Linked DNA regions of Arabidopsis thaliana. The protein of the gene in region 1 purifies or fractionates together with the protein of each later gene. This does not show direct contact. Each region holds a gene or a part of one and is shown in the gene's direction. Other genes may lie near its edges. The genes, in order: MSD1 and POP2.

Region 1 (4,712 bases):
AGTTAATTTAGTTGAACAAAGAAACCATCTTATATTCATTCTGGATATGGCGTTTAGTTATACTACAAATGGTGAATAACAAGAAAAGCTAAACAAAAACAAGTAAAAGCATTCTCAGAATCACCAAAGTTAAGCTCATGAATCTTTATCCTTGGATAAGCTCCATGAGAGTCTGCTTATAACATTTTCGTCTACTATTTTGTAGTGGTGAGACAACCGCCTGTGAATCGTCCCGCAACACTTGTCTACTTTGCTTTGATATTTACTGTACAAAGCCGGTATTGTTACAGATAGGATGGTCCCTGTTCACACCATAAAAAGTATAAACTTCATATAAGAATTTGGTTCACTGAGTTTAAAACAACAATGTCGCAGGAACTAAAACGAGATCAACAAGCCAACGTGGGGGATGAAACTGAAGGATCAAAAAACATAGAAGCTTTTTCCTTTCATTTGCATTTAAGGATCAAGTTACTAACCGATGTAAAGAAGAGTGCAGAGAGATATATAGCTACCAATGGCAGAGAGAAGCCACAGACAAATCACCACCTGCTAAAGAAAAATCGTCAGACCAACAGTTCAGATGCTTAACGGTTCCCATGTCATTTCACTCAACATCATCGTGAGTTTCTGAATGGGTTAGCTTCATAACCTTGAAGAAGAGTCGAAAATCGTTGCCAACTGTGACATCATGAGCCATTACAAGCAAGTGATTGAGTTTTATACGGAAAGAAGCTGCAGCACTATTCACCATTTCCTCTGATAGAACAAGCTCTGGCAACGAATGCAACTGTCTGCTTATAAAGAGATAACAGGTAGAAATCATCACTAATCAGTCACATAACAGCAAAGAATTAAGAAAAAGAAGACTAGTGAAAAGTAGAGCGCACCTATTCCTAAAAGCAGAAACCCGGGCATGAACGAATGATATCATGATCACGATGAGTAAGACATCCGAAGAAACAGATAAGAAAGGCAACCCGGAAAACTCGAATATAAGCCAGGCTACAGTTGATATAATGATAACCCCCAAAGAAAGATGTCGCCTCCTCCATAAGAGCAAGTCAGCAGCTACATCAAAGAACAAAGCCATACAAAAATCACAAACAGTAGCTTTTTGCTGGACCTATGAACTCATCATGCGTATCCAGAGATTTGAATCAATCAATTTCTCATTCAAAATCAAACCTAAACCTAACTTTCACCTGCCAAGTTTTCCATTTTCTACTATACCCAAAATGCTAAATGTACTTACACACATGACGATTTTCACAACCAACCAAAATCAGAAACCCTAACTATTCCAACTATCATCCCCAATTTGAATTTTCTGTTCTGTAAATCCGAGAAAATTCTCATCACAAACTACCAAAATGATGAAAAAACACAAATTCTGGAAAAAAGAACTCGCCTTTGCCACCACCCATGAACTGATGAACCGTAATCTGCCGACCCAACAATCGATAATCCGATGACGATCCTCCTTCATTTCTTCCATCGAAATCACCATCGATATCACTTAAACTATCCATCGGAGAATTAAAAAAAAAAAACCGAATTTACACAAATTCTCCGACTTCCAGGTTCCTATTTCGATCTCGCCGACTCCGATTTGAAATTTACCTTAAAGATACGATCTCAGTACAATGGTTTGTGAAAGCAGCTAGATTGATGGGAGAATGACAGCGATTGGGTGGATTATCAAGGAGGAACCAAATAGAATTGGCTTTCACATGCATCCAACAAATTCAACATTTGGAAATTCTCCGTTTCTAGTCAACTTTCTTCATTTCTTTATTTTTTTCCTGTGAACAAACAAAAAAGTAACATTTAGCCGTCACAAAATATTAAAAATTACGCTTTATTATATTAAGGCCTTGGGCTCACTAATCCAATATTACGGCCCATAAATAAAAATCACATGTCTACGTGTCAAAACAGTCACTTTTCTCTATACATGACAGGCAGTGATATTATCATAACCCTCCACTTATACACATGTTCATTTTTGGCGACCACTAGAAGGAGAAACAAATCTTCATTCCAACAATGGCGATTCGTTGTGTAGCGAGTAGAAAAACCCTAGCCGGCTTGAAGGAGACATCATCGAGGCTATTGAGGATCAGAGGGATTCAGACTTTTACGCTTCCTGATCTTCCTTACGATTATGGCGCATTGGAACCGGCCATTAGTGGAGAGATCATGCAGATTCATCACCAGAAGCATCACCAGGCTTATGTTACTAATTACAATAATGCTCTTGAGCAGCTTGATCAAGCTGTGAACAAGGGAGATGCTTCCACTGTTGTTAAGTTGCAGAGCGCCATCAAATTCAACGGCGGAGGTGTGTTTGTGTGTCTGACTCTCTTTTTTTTTTTTTTTTACGATCTCGATTTCTATGTGTTTGATCGATTGGTTTGTGTTTAGATCGTGTTTGGATGATATTAGCAAATGAAGTAGTTGATTTAGGAGAGAAATTTGGTTTGAACAGTGAAGCTGATGAGTAATTTTGATGAATTGGGATGAAACTTCTGTAAGAATCAATGAAACTTTTATCGGTAATGCAAGCTTTCTTAGATAGCTACTTTTGTTTGCTGGGTCTTGAGATCATAACCAGTTGATTTAGTATAGAACTTTTGTTAGGAACATTGAAGCTGTTGATTAATTTTGATGACTATAGTTTGGTATTAGGATTGTTGCTTCTTGAGCTCCGGACCGGTTGGATTGATAGAAGAGAAATTGGCAGAGAAACTATTGGAAATAAATTGAGTTTTTTGTGTGCTAGAGAATGGGAATTGATCGACTTTATTTCTAACGTGCAGGTCATGTCAACCATTCGATTTTCTGGAAGAACCTTGCTCCTTCCAGTGTGAGCTTGTGTTTTGAGTTTCTGTGTATTTCTTCGATTTTGTTGTTCTGTAATTGATGGTTTGTTTTAATGTATAACAGGAAGGTGGTGGAGAGCCACCAAAAGGATCTCTTGGTAGTGCCATTGACGCTCACTTTGGCTCCCTTGAAGGTCTGGTGAAAAAGATGAGTGCTGAGGGTGCTGCAGTGCAAGGCTCAGGATGGGTGGTCTGTAGTCTAGTTTCACCTTTTTATTTCATCTGCTCACATTGTCGACTCTGGTGCTTTACGTATAATAACCATGGTCCTTGATTCGCTTGTTTCTGTTGATTAATTCAGTGGCTCGGACTAGACAAAGAACTGAAGAAGCTAGTTGTTGACACAACTGCCAATCAGGTAACTTATCCATGATCAGGAATGCGCTATTGAATATGTTCAAAAGATTTCTTGGTACTCATGAACATCTGTGAGAATAATGGGTTTTAAAGAAAAAGAGTTTGTTTCGGTTGGTGCAGGATCCATTAGTGACAAAAGGAGGAAGCTTGGTACCTCTGGTGGGTATAGATGTTTGGGAGCACGCCTACTACTTGCAGGTAACAACACTTTTGATACCTTAAGTCTCATGAGTTAGCTTAAAAGATTAAGCTCTCTAATCAATCTGTATTCTCTCATTCAGTACAAAAATGTGAGGCCTGAGTATCTGAAGAATGTATGGAAAGTGATCAACTGGAAATATGCAAGCGAGGTTTATGAGAAGGAAAACAACTGAATCGTTTACACGATGACATAAGGAGATGAACCAGTTCCAGCTCAGCTTTTGTTTTAAGGTTGTCTGAAACAAACTTACAGTGTCTCTTTGGTTTTTAAGATTTGCTCAACTCAGCTGTGTGGTACGTTGTTTTACAATGAAAGTTTTCAAGAATAAAAATTTGCTATTATTGTCAGAAAGCGCTATTGTTTATTCTACGAAGAAAACAAAACGGAATCTTATTGGTATAATAATTACCTCATTTCAATAAAACAATAACTAATTTTCTCGTTTTTCACTACTCGACACATATATGACAGGAATATTATAACGAAGAAATTTGGGATTAATGAAATTTGTGAAATAATGCATACACACTTGTGTAATAAAAATGCATTATCTTTGTGTCTGCGTTGTGGAAAATGGATCATAGTCAAGTCTCATAAAAAACGCGTTCAATTCAATTTATACATATTTCGCCTAACTTTTGATTCTTTACGCCTTGGCCCCATTCTTATCTTTTAATTTTATCTCTTTCTTGGAAGTTACCCAAACACTAATACAATGTCAATTCAAATGGTATCCTTGACTCTTTTATGCGTTTAACTTAAAAGACTTTCTTAGTCTAAATAAAATTGATACATAATCATAGAAATTAAAAAGCTGATTAACGTTTATCAAAGAAATATTGATGAAACGATACAAGATGATAGTCTAAGTCTTGATCATTTCGACTTACATTACCAAATAAAATCCTCATTTTTCCTAAACTTCTACTGTAAATTTCTGTAATACATGTAACATTTACAATAATCTCTATTTGAAAACGAAAAATCAAAGAATCTCTAAAGAACAAAAAAAGAAAGAAGTAAGAATTAGGACAGAAAACTCTAGAAAGAATAGTGCTAAGTCTTGACGTCGTTAGTTTTCTTGCTGGGTCCAGACCCCGGACGACTCCCTTTCGGAAGAGCATTCAACACCAAGGACCCGAACTTTCCGGCGACAACTTCAGGAACAAAAGAAGAATATTCCGTCTTGGTCTCCTGCTCGCCTCCGCAACCAACCACCGCCGACTTAGAAACAGGAGGGATCTCTCCGGAGAAGATGACTGGAACAA
Region 2 (6,071 bases), 4.4 Mb from region 1:
CAACATTGGCATAATTAAGACAAAAAGAAAGAAACTCTTGTAATAATCTTCCTTTGAAGTACTCACATTTTCATCTTTCTTGGAAGACCTAGACTTATCAGATTTAGTAAAACCAACCAATGCTTTAATCCATCTCCCTGAAGCTCCCATTCTATCTCAATTCCAACGATCAGCAACATAAAACAACACAAAACCTGCAAAATTGCCAATTTAGCAACTAAATTATTCAAAACAGTAAAGCTTTCTCCTTTTTGATAACAAAATAGACAAAAATGGAAACTTTAATTGAGTTCACTAAATTCTCCTGACAATGTTGGATCCTTAATATTAAAACCAAGAAATTTAGTAATGAACACTAACAAAAAATCCAAACTTTGCAAAATTGAGACACATCGAGGAGAAGCAAAATTCAAAAACTTTACACCGGCGGCGAAGGAAAGATCGCCGATGAGATCTTTAAAGAGAGTGAGTGGCGACTTCGTGATCTTTTCTTCTTCAGTCAGTGAGCGTCTTTCTCGGCTACTTTACTTTTTCCTCTCTCTCTCTACTCTACAAAAAGAAAAAGGTCCATACTTTATTCTCTCTCTAGGGGATATGTGTGTGAACGAACATATACAGATAGATAGGAATTGACTTGATTGATCGTTTCGTTTTCCCTCTCCTCTCTCAGATACGATTGATTGAATGATAGATTAGATTGCACGCCGTACGCGTGCTCTATTCTTCAATTTGGCGGCGTTTTTTGACCTCGAAACGGCACGCAGTTTTAGTTTGAAATATGTTTGATTCTCTTTTTTAATTAATGCATGCATTTATGTGTGTAAGTCTTGTTTGCAGTCTGATATTTTGAATGGAGAAGACAAAATAAGTTGACGTGTCACCTAATTATATGATGTCACTAGTTTTTGTAATGTTGGATCATTATTAGTATCTTTTTTAATCTAAATTAAAGATAATTATTATTTTTTCGTTTACTTTTGTTAGACGTAACAACTATCACATGGTTATGTAATAATCTTATGGAAACTCGTATATTAAAATAATTTTTACTCCAGTTTTTCCTACTATCCCTCCTTAGAAATTGAAATATGCCATCAAATTTGGCTACTTTTTCTGTTAGTTGGGTTGGCCTAGTTGGTGTTTTTATTTAGTAAATGAAAAATAAAAAGATAAAAACAAACACACAAAGAAAAGTTATTAGAATATGTCCTACATAAAATTTTATTTATGTATAGAATAATATATAAATATATGGTAAAATTTCCACTTGAAGTAATTTTTAAGTATGAGTTAGGCTCATACTAATATGCTATAAACCTAAAGTTTTAATGTGTCTCGATTGTGAACCATATATAGATGTCCAGTCCCATAACCTTAACGTTTCAGATGTCCATTTCTAAACGCGAGGGAAGAAGTGTATTAAAATGTGTTCCACATCGAGACATAATTTTTTTTTCTTCAAATTGGAGTGATTTTTTTTACTATATTTCTCCATTTTATTTATTTCAGCAGAAAATATAATAAAATTTTAATTGATATTTTTATGGTATGGCTGCTATATACAACTAGCCTCTTATTTGTTTTTTCTTTCCCTTGCTACTACTGCACCAGTTACAACCTATTATTATTATCTCTGTGAGAGAGCAGCAAAATGATTTGTTTCCCTTTAAAATAAAATAAATCAAAAATAATATTAAGAAAATGACTCAATGACACGTCACTGGAAAAAATCAAATGGAACTCGAAAAGATTAAATAAATAAAAAGATATAAGGCATCATCATCATCAATTCATCATCCTCTGTTTTGTAACCAATCTCAGCTCTCCCTCTCAAACAATCCAGGATTCTTCAGATTCCTCTCCTTTGATCCTCTCTTTAACAATCTCTCTCTCTCTGTTTTCTTCGATCCGTTGTAGGAGAAAATGGTCGTTATCAACAGTCTCCGACGCTTGGCGCGTACCACTCAGGTTCTTCCACTTCTTCTTACTCGCTTGATGATCTCATTATTCTCACATACATGATCCTCGATTGCATCATCATAATTTTCCCCGAATGTTTTGCTTAATAGATCAGGAGTCAGAATAACATTGAATATGCCAACAATTGTAAATAAAAATCTAATCTTTTTTCAAAACGCCAAATTGACGTGGATCAGGATGAAAAAGGTCATGTCTTTTCGAGAGTATATACTTTTCTGAGATTCTCCAGTAATCAAGGAACAAACTTTTTCTCATAAAGTGGAACAAATCTCTTGTTGTGAATGATAATCTTCTTATAACAAAGAGATAAATTTGAAGAAAATTCTGTGGAGATCATTATATCCTAACCCAAAAACAGTGATGTGATTTATAGTGCTAATATTTTTACTCTAATGGCAGGTTCATTTGCACAGTAAGTATGCCACTTGCATGTCTGGGAACTCCACTTCCAGGAGGATTTTCACTACTGAGGCAGCACCTGAGAAGAAAAACACTGTTGGGTGAGTTATTTTTTAATGCTTCTAAGCGTTGTATTCTGAAGGCTTTATAGCGTCGTCAACGAGACATGAATAGTGGTGATGTTTTTATTCTGAGCAGGTCTAAAGGGCATGATATGCTTGCACCTTTTACTGCTGGATGGCAGAGTGCTGATTTAGATCCCTTGGTCATTGCAAAGTCTGAGGTACATGTCAAAATCTCATTTTCATAGTGTAAATGTTGAGTCAAACAGTTGTGTAAGTGTGACGTTTTTCTTACAGGGAAGTTATGTGTATGATGATACTGGGAAAAAATATCTTGACTCTCTCGCTGGTTTATGGTGTACTGCCTTAGGTATTCTTCCTTCTAATACTACTAAACATGAATTGATGTTTCTTTTTCTGCAGTTTGGTATTCCTTGATTCTGACCCTCATTGTTAACCCAAAACCTTGCAGGAGGAAATGAGCCAAGGCTTGTTTCTGCCGCTGTTGAACAGTTGAACACCTTGCCGTTTTATCACTCCTTTTGGAACCGTACTACTAAACCTTCTCTGGTACTCCAGACTTTCCCTTTTGGTGTCATTTTTATAATGTTTTCCTACAATTTCCTGCTACTCTCTGTGTCCTGTTAAGACTCAGAGCAGTATACTTTATGAGATATCAAAGAGAATTTGAGCAATGTGATGTTTTCATACTAAACAGGATCTTGCTAAGGTTCTTTTAGAGATGTTCACGGCCAACAAAATGGCCAAAGCATTTTTTACAAGCGGTGGATCAGATGCCAACGATACCCAGGTTTCCATAACTATACTTCAAACCTTGATCTCGTATTTTCTAAGTTTTCGACCTATAAGAGTTGTTTATGAATTTCCTGTATATATAATGCAGGTCAAGCTGGTTTGGTATTACAATAACGCACTTGGAAGGCCCGAGAAGAAAAAGTTTATCGCGAGAAAGAAATCGTGAGTAATGATTTTTGCTTGTCCTTTTCCATTTGTCTGTTTTTATAAGATCTCAGAGTGTTTACAAATGCAATGTTATCATTTCAGGTACCATGGCTCCACTCTAATATCAGCAAGTTTGTCCGGGTAGGATAAATATTGTTCCTCATATGTTCTTTCTAGAAGTGCTAAAGATTCCTTCTTTTCCCTAACAAAGTTAGTTTGTTGTTCCAGCCTTCCCCCGCTACACCAAAATTTTGATTTACCTGCACCATTTGTGTTGCACACAGATTGCCCTCATTATTGGCGTTTTCATCTTCCAGGTATGAATGATCCTCACTGCCATTTCAAACAGTAAAAGTATCTGTTATTATAACCTTTGAATTGCTTGTTCAGGCGAAACGGAAGAGGAGTTCTCAACCAGATTAGCCAAGAATTTAGAGGATCTAATCATCAAAGAAGGACCAGAAACTGTAAACTTCTATAGTTACTTACGAAAATTCTTGTCTTTATGCTACTAGCAGAACCAGATTAGTCTAACAGAAAGCGTCTTCTTAATAGATTGGTGCTTTTATAGCTGAACCAGTCATGGGTGCTGGGGGTGTGATACCTCCACCTGCTACCTACTTTGAAAAGGTCATTTTCGGAAACTTTGTTGGTACTGATAGCATGATATTGGGCTCTTTTTGCCGTTTCATTTTGTTTATCCGAGTGTGTTTTCTCTTTCTGTACTGCAGGTTCAAGCTGTTGTTAAGAAATATGATATCTTGTTCATTGCTGATGAGGTATGTGCATGTCTTATTGAACCATGTTTACCATCAGTCCACACAGGATCATGACCCCAAGTATCCATCAAGAAGAAGATTTATCATTATCTGTTTTTATTTTGTTTGGTCTTTAAGGTGATATGTGCATTTGGAAGGCTCGGGACAATGTTTGGCTGTGACAAATACAACATTAAGCCAGATCTTGTGACCTTAGCTAAGGTGAGATTTTGCAAGATGATTAGTAGTTTTTTTCTGTTGGCAAATTTCCCCTGACAAGTTGTAAATGTTTCCAATATACAGGCACTGTCTTCAGCATATATGCCGATTGGAGCCATTCTTATGAGCCAAGAAGTGGCAGATGTCATAAATTCTCATAGCAGCAAGCTAGGTACAGTATTTTGGTAATGTTCACACTGGTTATATTCCAATGTTCTGATCTTAATATGCTGGTGAAAACGTTTCTATTTCAGGCGTTTTCTCCCATGGATTTACTTATTCTGGTCATCCAGTTTCGTGTGCTGTAGCAATTGAAGCGTTAAAGATATACAAGTAAGTTTGTCACTTTGCATACAAGTGAGCCAGTTTTTAGATTGTAATTTGCCAAAAACATCAAAACCTGTCACACAGTTGACTAAGTTTCTCGCTTCTCTATTCTTACTGCACTTTTTTGTGACGATCATATTCATATTACAGGGAGAGGAACATACCAGAGTATGTCGCCAAAGTTGCCCCAAGGTTTCAAGATGGAGTTAAAGCGTTTGCCTCTGGTAGTCCTATTATTGGAGAGGTTACCATTTCTCTTGGTCCTTTACTTACCAGTTTTATTCAATAAGAATTATTTGACTGAGGACATTTTGTGATGGTTATCAGACAAGAGGAACAGGTTTGATTCTTGGGACTGAGTTTGTAGACAATAAATCTCCGAACGAACCATTTCCACCAGAATGGGGTAAAAGAAATCACTCTCATGACCAAACATTAAAAAGTCTCTCTTCTCCAAAACTCATTTACCATACTAATCTCTACACCATTGTTTCAATTGATGTTTACAGGTGTTGGCGCATTCTTTGGAGCCGAGTGCCAGAAGCACGGGATGTTAGTCCGTGTTGCAGGTGATGGCATTTTGATGTCTCCACCGCTCATTATCTCACCTGAAGAGATTGATGAGGTAAATGTCCCAATCTTGAGACATAAATATTGCTGTTGTCTGCTAAATCTTGTGACCAATTCACTGAAACTCTCTCTCTCTCTTTTATAGTTGATTTCTATCTATGGGAAAGCATTGAAGGCAACGGAAGAGAAGGTAAAAGAACTCAAGGCTCAGCACAAGAAGTGAAAAGCAGAGTCAAAATGATGTTGATGAAAAATGTTTTTTAGATTCTCAAAGTTTGGATCCTTTGTTTTTTTTTTTAACACACAACAAGTCTTTAAATAAGTACATTTTAATGAGGAATAAACAATAATGGGACAACATCTGACGATGTGATCAAGATCATCTACTAAACCAAAAATGCAGCCATAGTTAACAATAACCAAACTCTTTTGAATTGTTTATTTGTACGAACATTGAAAAGCAAAACGATCATGGATCATGGTGATTTTTGGAATCAAGATTTAGGACGTTTTTTGTTTGCTTCTCTCTTTGATCTTCTCTCCCTTGAACTTAGAGAAGTCTTGAACCCAACTTCGTTCTCCGAGTCGTACACATCTTTAAACGATTTCTGCACACACACACTTGATTTTTTCTTAAAATTATATGTAAAAGATCAAAAATGTTGAGAATAAGGAGTAGTTTCATAACAGTGAACCTCTCTGATCTCGGCAAAGCTAACGGCATAGAATGTTACGACCGAGACTGCGACGATTCCAAGAACAGGGAGTGCGATATGGCTTATCCCTTCCATTT

Evidence for each region.
Region 2: the proteins of MSD1 (region 1) and POP2 fractionate together in Arabidopsis thaliana (co-fractionation; one large-scale study listed by BioGRID). This does not show direct contact.

What each region holds. Positions count from the first base shown.
Region 1 is NC_003074.8:3,415,966-3,420,677, forward strand, and holds MSD1 (manganese superoxide dismutase 1), read left to right. Parts: upstream 1-1,974; 5' UTR 1,975-2,049; coding exon 2,050-2,344; intron 2,345-2,822; coding exon 2,823-2,869; intron 2,870-2,949; coding exon 2,950-3,075; intron 3,076-3,186; coding exon 3,187-3,243; intron 3,244-3,362; coding exon 3,363-3,440; intron 3,441-3,523; coding exon 3,524-3,616; 3' UTR 3,617-3,927; downstream 3,928-4,712. Other genes in the region: AT3G10915 (Reticulon family protein), read right to left, coding at 136-302, 480-549, 653-794, 891-1,071, 1,412-1,491, 1,624-1,739; AT3G10930 (uncharacterized protein), read right to left, coding at 4,263-4,568. UniProt on the Arabidopsis thaliana protein: Destroys superoxide anion radicals which are normally produced within the cells and which are toxic to biological systems.
Region 2 is NC_003074.8:7,833,363-7,839,433, forward strand, and holds POP2 (Pyridoxal phosphate (PLP)-dependent transferases superfamily protein), read left to right. Parts: upstream 1-1,781; 5' UTR 1,782-1,923; coding exon of another isoform or gene 1,924-1,968; 5' UTR 1,969-2,094; coding exon 2,095-2,166; intron 2,167-2,379; coding exon 2,380-2,480; intron 2,481-2,577; coding exon 2,578-2,662; intron 2,663-2,738; coding exon 2,739-2,811; intron 2,812-2,913; coding exon 2,914-3,011; intron 3,012-3,159; coding exon 3,160-3,252; intron 3,253-3,345; coding exon 3,346-3,419; intron 3,420-3,506; coding exon 3,507-3,545; intron 3,546-3,632; coding exon 3,633-3,721; intron 3,722-3,794; coding exon 3,795-3,871; intron 3,872-3,959; coding exon 3,960-4,034; intron 4,035-4,135; coding exon 4,136-4,183; intron 4,184-4,300; coding exon 4,301-4,384; intron 4,385-4,465; coding exon 4,466-4,553; intron 4,554-4,635; coding exon 4,636-4,714; intron 4,715-4,858; coding exon 4,859-4,952; intron 4,953-5,035; coding exon 5,036-5,114; intron 5,115-5,217; coding exon 5,218-5,333; intron 5,334-5,421; and 4 more. Other genes in the region: IQD5 (IQ-domain 5), read right to left, coding at 67-150; AT3G22210 (uncharacterized protein), read right to left, coding at 5,773-5,886, 5,974-6,069.